Arabidopsis thaliana: one gene and its partner. The protein of the gene in region 1 interacts with the protein of each later gene in a pairwise test. Each region holds a gene or a part of one and is shown on either strand. Other genes may lie near its edges.

Evidence for each region. The genes of interacting proteins can lie anywhere in the genome.
Region 2: the proteins of AT2G41820 (region 1) and PLC2 interact in a protein complementation assay, tested with the Arabidopsis thaliana proteins (one large-scale study listed by BioGRID).

What each region holds. Positions count from the first base shown.
Region 1 is NC_003071.7:17,445,102-17,450,646, reverse strand, and holds AT2G41820 (Leucine-rich repeat protein kinase family protein), read right to left. Parts: upstream 3,904-5,545; 5' UTR 3,478-3,903; coding exon 1,134-3,477; intron 1,062-1,133; coding exon 733-1,061; 3' UTR 539-732; downstream 1-538. Other genes in the region: AT2G41830 (Uncharacterized protein), read left to right, coding at 52-216. UniProt on the Arabidopsis thaliana protein: Leucine-rich repeat receptor-like protein kinase that may play a role in vascular tissues development.
Region 2 is NC_003074.8:2,581,828-2,587,842, forward strand, and holds PLC2 (phospholipase C 2), read right to left. Parts: upstream 4,072-6,015; 5' UTR 3,730-4,071; coding exon 3,430-3,729; intron 2,922-3,429; coding exon 2,725-2,921; intron 2,637-2,724; coding exon 2,501-2,636; intron 2,415-2,500; coding exon 2,178-2,414; intron 2,098-2,177; coding exon 1,874-2,097; intron 1,786-1,873; coding exon 1,668-1,785; intron 1,525-1,667; coding exon 1,372-1,524; intron 1,290-1,371; coding exon 1,203-1,289; intron 1,093-1,202; coding exon 799-1,092; 3' UTR 535-798; downstream 1-534. Other genes in the region: AT3G08505 (zinc finger (CCCH-type/C3HC4-type RING finger) family protein), read right to left, coding at 1-83, 206-216; AT3G08520 (Ribosomal protein L41 family), read left to right, coding at 4,205-4,216, 4,314-4,379; AT3G08530 (Clathrin, heavy chain), read right to left, coding at 5,344-5,499, 5,598-5,708, 5,822-5,944. UniProt on the Arabidopsis thaliana protein: The production of the second messenger molecules diacylglycerol (DAG) and inositol 1,4,5-trisphosphate (IP3) is mediated by activated phosphatidylinositol-specific phospholipase C enzymes.

The DNA.
Region 1 (5,545 bases):
TCCAAGATAACTGTTTAACCATTTTTGTATTGATTACTGAAATTTGTTTAGGTCGAAGTCCCTTTACTGTCGAAAGAATTCGACATGAAATCGCCAAGAACACCAGTGGGAACTATTCAGTCACCGTGCTATGCAGAACTACAAAATAACCCACAAGCATTTAGACTACCAGCCTCAAGCCCTTACGACAACTTCCTTAAAGCTGCTGGCTGTTGATCATCGGCAGGATCCAAACCATGTTTGGCTTTGAATTCCAGTCAAGAACTCAAACAAAACATAACAAAAATAGGTTTGCTTGGTTTTCAAAGTCTTGGGTTACGTTTTTATAGATTCTTTAGCATCATAAATCGGAATTATCTCCGTCGTGCTATAATTAGATCATTCCTCCTAGGTTTTTACTCCTATCTTCTCTTTTCACTTATTCTTTTGTCCAATTCTTGTTTCTTTTTGGTGTGATGTGTAAAAAATTGAAAGAGGCCATCTGGTTTTCACATGGTATTGTAATCTTAAGATTCTACAACAGATGCTTTGTTGAACAGTTTCCCTCAAGATGTACATTGGTTCTTCTATGATCTAATTTATAATTTGTGTCATTGGATAAGTAAATCAACCATAAGCGGATCAATTTTATCATAAAAACCTATATAATACACAGAGGAGAAGCTCGCATATATAGGAATGCGTTTTCTTTTGTATATGAATGTCACAAGAGGAAACTATATATTCATTTGCTCATTTGATTTGCTTAACCTCTTGAAGCATTTCAACTACTTTCTTCATCTTTGGCCTTTTTGCAGGTGTGATGTCTGTGCAAAGCAATGCAACTTTCAGAGCTGCAAGCATCTCTCTCCTCCAAGCAAAAGACACGGTGCTAAGCTTGGCATCGAGTATCTGTTCCGGTGTTTCTCCTCTCGCTGAAGCTCCATGGACCCATTTCACCAAATCTACTCCTTCACCAAACTCTTCCTCCACCGGCGCTCTTGAGGTTAGAATCTCAAGCAACACAACTCCATAACTGTAAACATTCCCCGGAGCTGTAACTTGCATTGTGTATGCATACTCTGCAGAAATAAACCAAGGGAAAGTGTTGGATTTTGTATAAAGTTACTGGTAACAAAATTAAGACTTTATACCTGGTGGAATGTAGCCAAAAGAGCCTGCAACTGAGCTAATACTCGCGGTGCCTCTAGAGGGATCTAGAAGTTTCGATATTTCGATTTCCCCAAGCACGGCTTTGTAACCAGAGTCTAGCAAGACGTTGCTAGAGGAAACGTCGAGGTGAATGATGGCGACTTGGTGGAGAAATGCTAAACCTTCTGCTGCTCCAACAGCTATGGACAGTCTCATTGGCCAGTCAGGTTGGTACTCTGGTTTCTTGGTGGACTCATGAATCAGCTGAGTTAAGTTACCATTAGGTAAATGCTGATGCAACAAGAGAGCAACGTCTTCGTATATAACAAACCCTATCGGTCTAACCAAATGGTCATGGCAAAGTTTGCTGAGTCTTTCGAGTTCTCTGATCATCTTGTTCTGATGATGAGATATGGCTCTATCCATAGACTTGAGTTTCTTCACCGAAACAATCATCCCCGAAGGCATAACGGCTTTATAAACTGAACTGAAAGTTCCCGTACTGAGTTTATTTGACTCCTTCATAGTTGCTTTCACAACTGCATCAAGATCAATTCCTTGTTTAAGATTTTCAAGGAAGACATTTCCCGCGATAATTGCTGGTTGCTCATCCTCAACATTTTCTTCAACATCAACATTTTTAGCCGCTGCTTTCTCTTGTTTCTCCCTCATCATGAAGAGAAGAACAACCACAGTGACTGATACAAAGACAGCTACACCAGAACCAATCACTGCGAGCACAATTCTGTAGGAGACTCTGTGATTATATCTCAAATGGTCAAGATCTTCAGAATATCCACAAGAAGAGCTCAATGGTGCTCCACAAAGCTCTTTGTTTCCCAAAAAGCTCGAATTTGGAGACTTTTGAAAGGGAACAAAGACTGGCACTGGACCATTCAAAAGGTTGTTTGAGAAATTAACCTCGATCAAACTCATCATACCTTTTAGTAGTGGCGGTATGGATCCTGTGAGCAAATTGTTAGAGACATCCAATGACACGAGCTTGTCGAGTTTTCCTAACTCGGGAGGCAATGATCCATGAAGATGGTTGAAACTTAAGTTGAGTGCTATCTGCAAATTCCTCATGCGACCAATCTCAGGAGGAATGGTTCCCGTCAAGTAATTTCGACCCAGTTGGAGCTGAAGTAGCTTCACACAGTTTCCAATCTCATGAGGTATGTCTCCTCTTATGGAATTTTGATCAAGAAGTAAATACTGTAGCCTTGGCATGCTGCAGAGTTCCTTTGGGATGGTTCCGTTGAGTCTGTTGTTACTCAAATCAAGCTTGTTTAGGTTTCCACTTCCAAGAAACGACTTAGGGATCTCCCCAAAGAGACTATTACCTGAGAGAATCAGTTCTTGAAGATTAATGAGCTGACCAAGCTCTGTTGGAATGGTTCCAGCGAACCCATTAGCTGCCAGATTCAGCAGAGTGAGATTAGAACACTTGGAGAACTCTGCAACAATCTCACCTGAAAGATTGTTCTTGTCTGCTTCAAAGTAAGTAAGTCCACTAATGTTCCCGATTGTCCTCGGAATGACTCCCACAAGCTCGTTATTCCCAATTCTAATGCTCGAGAGGCCGCTGCAGATTCCTACTGCTTCAGGGAGTTCACCGGTCAATCTATTCTGTGTCAAGACCAAAACTTTAAGCTTCCCTTTCTCAAAAATCCCTTTTGGAATCTTCCCCTCAAGTTGGTTTGAGTGAAGATTCAACAATTCCAACTCAGAAACCAAACCTAACCCATTCGGTATCTCACCCACCAAATCATTCTCATAAGCTGTAAACACCCTGAGACTGCTCAGATTCCCTACCCAGTGAGGTATAGAACCATTTAACCCATTTCCAGAGACCTGAAACTCCTCTAACCTCTCTAGAACCTTAAGCTCATCAGGTATCTCTCCAACAAGCAAGTTATTAGAAATGTTGAATGCTCTAAGCCCTCTAAGCTTACCAAACTCAACCGGAATCGCTCCAACAAAACGATTCAGAGACAAATCAAGAAACTCAAGCTCAGACAAGTTGCCAAAAGAAGTAGGAATTCGTCCATTGAAGTTGTTACCAGAAAGATCTAGATGCTTTAAGCTTCTGAGGTCAGAGATTAGAGTAACATTACCTCTAAGCTGAAGCCCTGAGAGATCAAGCATTTCAACAAAAGAGTTGTTGACACCACACTTAAGCCCAACCCAAGTACAATAGTCAGTGCCATTACTACTCCATCCTGGAACTCCAAGCTCTCTATTAATCGCAACCAATGTGGCTTCATCGCTTAGTTGAGCTTCACAAAGCTCAGATTTTGATAAGAACCCAACAATCAGAAGAATTGACATACACCAAAATGTCATTTTTAAGAATTGAATCAATCACACACTCTTGTTCTTCTTCTTCTTTCCCCCAAATACAAAATTATCATTGAATTTTTAAGCCAAATGAAACAAGAAAGTGAGAGAGGAAAAGAAAAGTAATGCTCTTTTTGCCATGAATCCAGGATTAAAGCTCTGGTTTTTCAAGTCAAAATAACTGTTTCTGAAGAAAAAGAAGAAGAAAGACGAGTGCTTTAGAGTGTGAGTGTGGCTTAGAGAGAGAGCAAAGCCCATAAATTTAGGGAGAAAAAAACATGAGAGAACAAAGAGAAGAGAGCAAGGAAAATTCGATCAAAGAGTAGTAGGGTCTCTGCTTATAAGAGAGAAGAGGAAATTGCATTTTTTTTAGTATATCACGAAATTATGATTGCAGAACCAAACAAAGATCCTCTCACTTCACACACAGACAGAGAGAGAGAAGAGAGAGACTCCACAAAGCAAACGCACTTGGAAAGGAGGGAATTTTTTTTTTCTTTTCTTTTAATGTAATTAATTTCTGATACAAAAAAGTTTAATTTTCTTCACGAGACAGTGCAAGTGATGAATGAATGAAAGCTGCATAAATCTTTCTGACACATTTTTTCTGCTTTTGTTTTTTGGAAGAAAAAAAAAAGATTTTAATGAAAATGAAGAGTGTACGTTTTTTGATAATTCTTTTCCTCTGACGTTTTTTCTGTACCATACTGATTGATACTGTCACAATGTTCAATACCAAAGAGGTAAAAGATTGTTTCCAAATCTATCTTTTTTATTTTTTTACCTTCTTTTAAAATCAAAATTTACACACACTTTGCAGTTATCATTTGTGGTATAATGACATTTTTCTTATTCGTAGGGACTAGGTTATATTTGTAGCCTACATGTTTTCTCTTTGATCTATATTTGACAATAGGGAATCTACTCTCGTGTGGTGATTTTTGATGATTACTTTAAACACGATCCATGTTTGATGTATACCAAATTTTGACGACATTTATGTCAAGAATATAAGATTATAGAATCACACGAGGTGGAAGATTATTACTATTATTATTCGTCTGCGACGATAGTCAGGAAACACTGTGTGTTAATATCAATAGATATGATTGATTTCCGAGTTTCAAAATACACGTAAATTTTTGTTGTAAGATGCTCAATATAACAATACGTAAACAACGATTTGTCAAATCTTGAATGTTGGTAGAAGACATGTTTTCTCAGATGTCTGCCTCAAACAGCGAGATTAGTATCTTTTGATTTTGTGATAATTGTTATAAATAAAACATACCAACAATTTATTAAATAGCTATGTCTTAAGCTGCTTCCGATACTCCTACGCGACCCAAAACATTGAAAAGATGTCGGATAGATCATATATGAGTTGAGCTAAACTGTGTTCATATTCTCATTGGTGTGTACTTTAAGCTAGATGATGGTCGTAAACTCACATACAAATAATTGTTGTTTATATTACACCATTTTCCTCTTTCCTCTAACTATTACCTGATACAGATGACATAATTAAGTATAGTACTAAAAGGTAAAATACTGAAAACGAGTTTGATTTAATTTGCACAATTGTAAACTAGAAAGAAAGATTCAAAGTATGCAACAGTCAAGCAAATTCATACAATTATACTCAAATATCCGATAGTCATTAACATTCCAGAAAAAAATAAAAAATTAAGAACATGAGTTTGGGTTTCGAGAAATACTAGATATACTAGTTAGCTCTTAATTTATGTTTCTAAGAAATTGTTGGTAAATGTTTTAAAAAAAATATATCATAATGAAACAAAATCATAAACAAAGCTCCGTTTTATCAACATATTCCTTTATGCTGCAAAGAGTTTGTATATTTATGTTTATTTTTGAAAATATAGATTGAGAATAATAGAATGAGGAAGAGTGGGGTTCACTCACGGGATGGGGTAAAAGAAAAAGGAATGTGGCTCTTTACGGTTAGGCAAATTGTAGGACCCTTCTTTGTCTGCTCCGACCACCACCACTCACCACCTCCGTCCCATCGTTTTTTTCCTCTTCTTGAAACCTAATTGCCTAATTAAGTATA
Region 2 (6,015 bases), on another chromosome or scaffold:
TGGGCGGATCCTTAGAGTCATGGGAAAATTCGCAATTTTCGCCTTTCAAGCACGAGCCATGGACAAAGAACTTGCACAGTATCCTACAAAAAAGAAATCAAATGAATCATCGTCCCCAGAAACGAAAGAATCAATCTTTATCACCAATCAAAGAGACACAAAATTGAAGAGTTTGATGAATCGAGAAGTTGGGGGATTACGATACCTATCGGACATTTGGGGATTTGTGCGGAGAGAAGAAAAAAAAGGGTGGAAGAATGGAGAAGGAAGAGAGAGCTTTATGTGAAGAAATTGAATTTGTACGGTTTTCAATTGTTGAGGACCAAGCAGACCCCAACGTTTTTGAGATAGAGCGCGCTTCCTCCACCTCCACCACCACCTCTCTCTTTCATTTACTAAAATATCCTTTCTCTTTTCTTTTTGGCCAATTTTGTTTTATGGGGTGTGATTGGTTATGTTTATGGAAATTCGATCAGTTTTATGTGATACATAAGAAAATTCTTTGAAGCCTTCTTGGTGGAATGGAATCAAACAAGTTTTAAAACACACTTGTTACACAAAAACCACAAATCATCATACGATTCAAGTGTTACACGAGACTACTACATAATAATACAACAACACACGATACAAGACCGTCTCTCTCTCTCTCACTTTCGTCTTTTATGTACATAATATTACAAACAACAAATCAAGCATACATTCTCTCTCACACATACAAATCCTCCAAATTCACAAACTCTGTGGCACTCAAACCTACCAGACAAGTTTAAATGCTGTATCTTTCTTAATCATGTCTCACACAAACTCCACCTTCACGAGAAGCTTAACGGATTTGTACTTCTCTCCTTTCCGGCTATGTAAAGGAAATGCTCTTATTCCTTCGCTTAGCTCCCAAACCGGTAAGCATGTCTGTCCTCCAAAATCATCTTTCTCTGACATGTCATACTCATGCACTTCTAATCGTAGCAGGGCCAGCTCTGGAACGGTTAATGGGAACTCAAACACCTCATCCCAAGCTGGTATCCAATTATCCTCCAGTGTTTTCGTCTTCTTCATTACTGTATCCCCTGGAACTCCAGCTATCCCAACCTGAATATGCATCAAAAGCTCAAATTGTTATATTGCAAGCATAAGAGACAAGAAACAGTTCTATCTCAAAACATTTGTGTGAGGTTTAAGGCAGGGAATCAAAAATTGACCCTTGTATAGAAGTCAGGCGGTGAATATTGGTCAAAGTGTGTGTGGCGGAAATCAAAGTACCAGCCTTCTCCCATGTATACAGTTACCTAAGGGAAAGAATAAGTTCACTGAGTTTGATCGGATTTGAATTGGTAAAAGAAAGACCAACCAGAGAATCAGATATCTCACCCTAAGTGTTGTTTTCACAGGTAGAGTAGCTTTTGGGTCAAATATGTCACTATCCGAACCACTTTTCAGCAGAAGGTCAGGTTTCTTGATGTAGCCACATCCGCCATTGGCTCTAAACATTCCCTGCATTAGCCACAATGATCTTCCATACCCCTGTACATGGAAAAAGATCACAATCAAATCAGCTGAGGAATAAGGTTGATGTCCTGTAAAATGATGGAACATAGCTCCTCCAAAATAACTAGAAGTTTTACTACTACGTAGAAAGAAGTTGGTAATATAGCAGAAGGAGATACCTGCATATTGAAAGCCACCATTTGAGCACCGTGGCTCCAGCCAACCAACGGGTTGTAATTTGATGATGTGACTCTAGTTCCTTTTGGGTATATCCTCAGCAAATTGTGCTGAGTAAACCTGCGCCACACCATGATTAACAGGATTCATATTGAGTTGACAAACTGCAACTATTACTTAGAAACATAAAAACATAATATGACTATACCTCACAATCTGCTTCGCATATTTTTCTGCTGCCTTTTCAAGTTGTTCTTCGCTTAAGCTAAGGCGTCTAACCTTGTCAGGATCTACCTTTAAACACTCAGTAATTCCGCCTTTTGGTTTCCCAGCATGGATTGCAATCAAATGTTTATACTGGGGTGGTGCATTAATCTTAGACTTGTCTTCATCATCATCATCGTCATCATCATCATTTCCATCTAAGTCATCCTGCAACAAGAAAGAAAACTAACATGTTTGTCCATGAACAGCAACAGAACAGAATGAAAATGATTTGTCTTCGTACACACCTTAGCTTCACTTTTGTTCCTCTGAATAAAGCTCGGAACTTCTCTTCCCCAAACTTCTTCATCCCCCAAGTCTTTACCTTTCTGCACCACTTCCACATCTTTTCCTTCCTTGTACTCTTTTGGGGGTTTGGTTGAGATGATAATACGTCTTTTTAAAGAGTTTGGCGATGGGAACTCCTTCAAAGATTCTCCCACAGGAGGAGTAAACAGAATTTCCCCAAATATCTCAGTAACCATCTATCATACAACAAGAAAACACATCTCAAAACCAATGTACTCATCTATTAAAGCAGCAAAGAAAGAAATGCAAAATAAAAAGCTACCTCAGCAACTTTAGACTGAAGATCTGGAGTAAGATGATCTTCAAGAGTTACAACAACAGGATAGTCAGATACATCAAAGGCATGTGCTCTGATAGCTTTGAGACATTTGATCAACCCCACAGGTGTAGTGAGAGTCCTGTTTAAGAATGGTTCAGTAAACAAGTTAAACGCCAAGCACCTAACCTTGACTTGTTTTTCGAAATAAATTTGAAGCAAAATTATACATTCCGTGAAGAACATCAATATCGTCTTTGTTGGAATTGGGCCATATATCCAATTCAATGACTCTAACACCTTTCTTCAACGCATCAATAATAGGTACCTCACTACAGTCACTGCTCAGCTGATTACCAGTCAGATAAGAATTATGACCAGTGAATATGAAATAATGCGATATAGGAGCATCCATGTCATGATGCACCTGAAACACCACAAATTCATTAGAGATAAGTCTATAATCAATCTGAAAATAAAAGCTAGCACAATTGAGTCACAATTACATGTATAGCCGGAATTGTAAAAATATTAATTACTTGTATCATGGATTTTTGTGTCAGAGTTCCTAATAGAGTAAATGTCACATTCCTAGATATGTTACTTTCTCAACTTTTTTTTTTTTTTTGAGACATAAAAAGAAAAACAATTCTATTGCTTCAAATTCTTGAATCAGACTTATTCCACAACACCTAAAAAGTACATAGCTCCTACGACTTTCTACCAAACAGCAGCTTCGAAGTTCGAACTCTTGATTAGACTCAGTGAAACATTCAAACAAATTATTCCAAAAATCTCACTTCCTCACACCATTTCCTCAATTACCAAACAAGGAAAACGAAAAATCCCAATCCAAAATCTGAGTTTCTTATATCAATCAATCATAGTTTACTTCAGATTCTGAACTCATAAAATCGAAATAACACGAAAATTACCTTATGGAGAGCAAGAGGAGGGTTATTATCACCAAAGAGGTACTTGAAGAAAGCATCAAGATGGAGACCATTACGATGAAGAAGAGAAGATGCAGAATTGATAATTGACTGTGCATCTTCTCTGGTGGCTTTATCTTGTTTCTGAACATCGATCAGAAACCTGTGGAGATGATCAACGGTCATAACTCCATTCTCTGAGTACTTTTCGAAAATGGTCTTGATCTCACGCGGTGCCTCCGATGCAGTGTAACGAAACCTCCGGCGAAAGCAGAAACACACTTTGTACGTTTGCTTCGACATGAAGTAAAGAAAAAGACGGATCTTTGGGTAATGATTGGAGACGATGATGAAGGAATGAAGTAGGGTTTGTGTGTTATATAATCAGAACTATCTTCTCATTGTTTTTGAAATCAGACAAGCGAGATCAGAATCGTCGTTTTGCGTGTCGCATCTGCAAAGACAAAGAGATTTTTTTCCTTTCTTTCTAGTGAATCTCCTCCATGTAATGTTTAATCGATCTTGAACCTTGTCGGAAAAAGATCTTCTTTCTCTCTCTGTGCGAATATCCCCTCTGGCAAATTCTTATCCATTTGGGTTTTATTGGGCTTTTGAAATAATAAAGCCCATTAAGTTAGTTACTAGGGTTTTGTTGTTGTTTAAAGGAGGAATAAGAGCGTAAGCTACAAAATCTTTCTATTCATCTCCGCCGCTCCTCATCCTGTAAAGCTAAACAAATAATCAGAGGAACGAAGGAGACAGCTTCTGCGAAATCAGCATGAGAGCCAAGGTTAGTAATGGGTTTTGATTGTTTAATGGATTTTTTAGTGATGAGAAATTGAAGTAGTGTGTAGGATCTTTATGGTTTGTGTGTTTGTGTGTTGCAGTGGAAGAAGAAGCGTATGAGGAGATTGAAGAGGAAGAGACGAAAGATGAGACAGCGATCTAAGTAGATTCGGGAGTTTGTTTTGTCTTTCTTCTTTTTAGAACCAACTCTTATGTGAGTTTTGTTGGTTTTGCAATTTTCAATTTGAATGTTTTGTTGGACCAAATCGAATCTATGTTTTCTATTAGAATTATGTTTATTACATGGAATGATCCTTATGAGTTACTGATTCTCCTTAAAGTTCTTCAATCTGCTTATCATTTTGGTTTAATTGATTATCTATAGTTAGTGTCTGCGCTGGATGAGTTTTATCCTGGTGAAGGTTGAACTTTTGATATTAGAAATACCAAGTGAATTTGTATGTCATCTAAGTATACTAATAAAAACAAAGTATGTTGGGTTGATTGAATCTTTCTATCCAGAACGTTTTCTTAGTAATGTAGCAGAAATGTGTGTTTACGGAGGGATGCAATTTTTAGTTCATGATGTTCAGATGACTATTGGTACTTAGGTTTTTATGTGTACATGTGAAATAAACCTACCCTAAGATTTCATTATTATTTCATGAAAATGAGATTCACGTTGCATCTATGTCTTTCTGATGCTGATGAATGATGATGATTGTTCTGAGGTCAACCAAATTCTCATGAAGGATTTATTTAGTCCTTCTCGATATTAATTGTTTCATATATGAATAACAACAAGGTGAAACTGATCAACGGTTTAATAAATCGAAAGTCGAATGGAATGAAATGCTGAAGGAAAGTACAACTACAAAACTCATATGAGTAAGAGAGTTGAGTATATATACTCAAAAATGGCTTTTGACAAAAAGTTAAAAAAAAATTACTCACCTAAACCCAACAGAATATTACAACGAAAGGAGGTTATTATCCACATTATTCCCAGACAAATTCTGGTCAGACATATAAGCTAGCTAGCAGATGAACACCGCCCTAGCAAATTGGGCCGACTCTATGCGCTACTGATACTTTTCCAAATGCGGATATTAAAGCATAAGCTGGTCTGCTTTAGTAGCCGCCCATCGGTGGCATTCCATATGGTGGCATGGGAGGCATTCCTGGCATACCGCCCATTTGTGGTGGAGGACCATACCCACCACCACCTCCCATTCCTGGCATCGGTGGTGCAGGTAAAGCAAGTGGCAACATTTGGGCATACATGTTCTGTTTAAAAACAAAAGAAAAACATATTACTCCTTTAAGTGTATCTGTCAAGATAAAGAGTCGGATGATATCCAGTGTAGCTGTGTCATAAGTAGTACCTGTTGGGATATGACATCCTTCTCTTCCTGCTCTTTGGCCTTCACCTCTTTTTGTGCCTCAAGCTTGTCCTTTATTAGCTCATCCACTTTGCCAGAGTACTCTCGGATAAACTGCAAAGAAAAAACGACAGGAAGAAGAGAATTCATCATAGCGTTCAAATAATGGTTCCAACCTCATTGAGCAGAGAATCAAAAGAGTTTATTTGAGGGTTAGGATAGATCACCTGGAGGAGATACGGGAAGGCAAAGTCCATCATATTGTTGATCCAGGCAAGTTCTAGAGCCACGTCTGGTCGGATTAAGTCATAACATACAAAGAGACATGTAGCAAAGCATTCCTTTTTGCCCTGTATAACAGCAGAAGACACGGGATACTACGTTCAACGTCTGGACCAATTCTTTTCAACTAACCAAACTG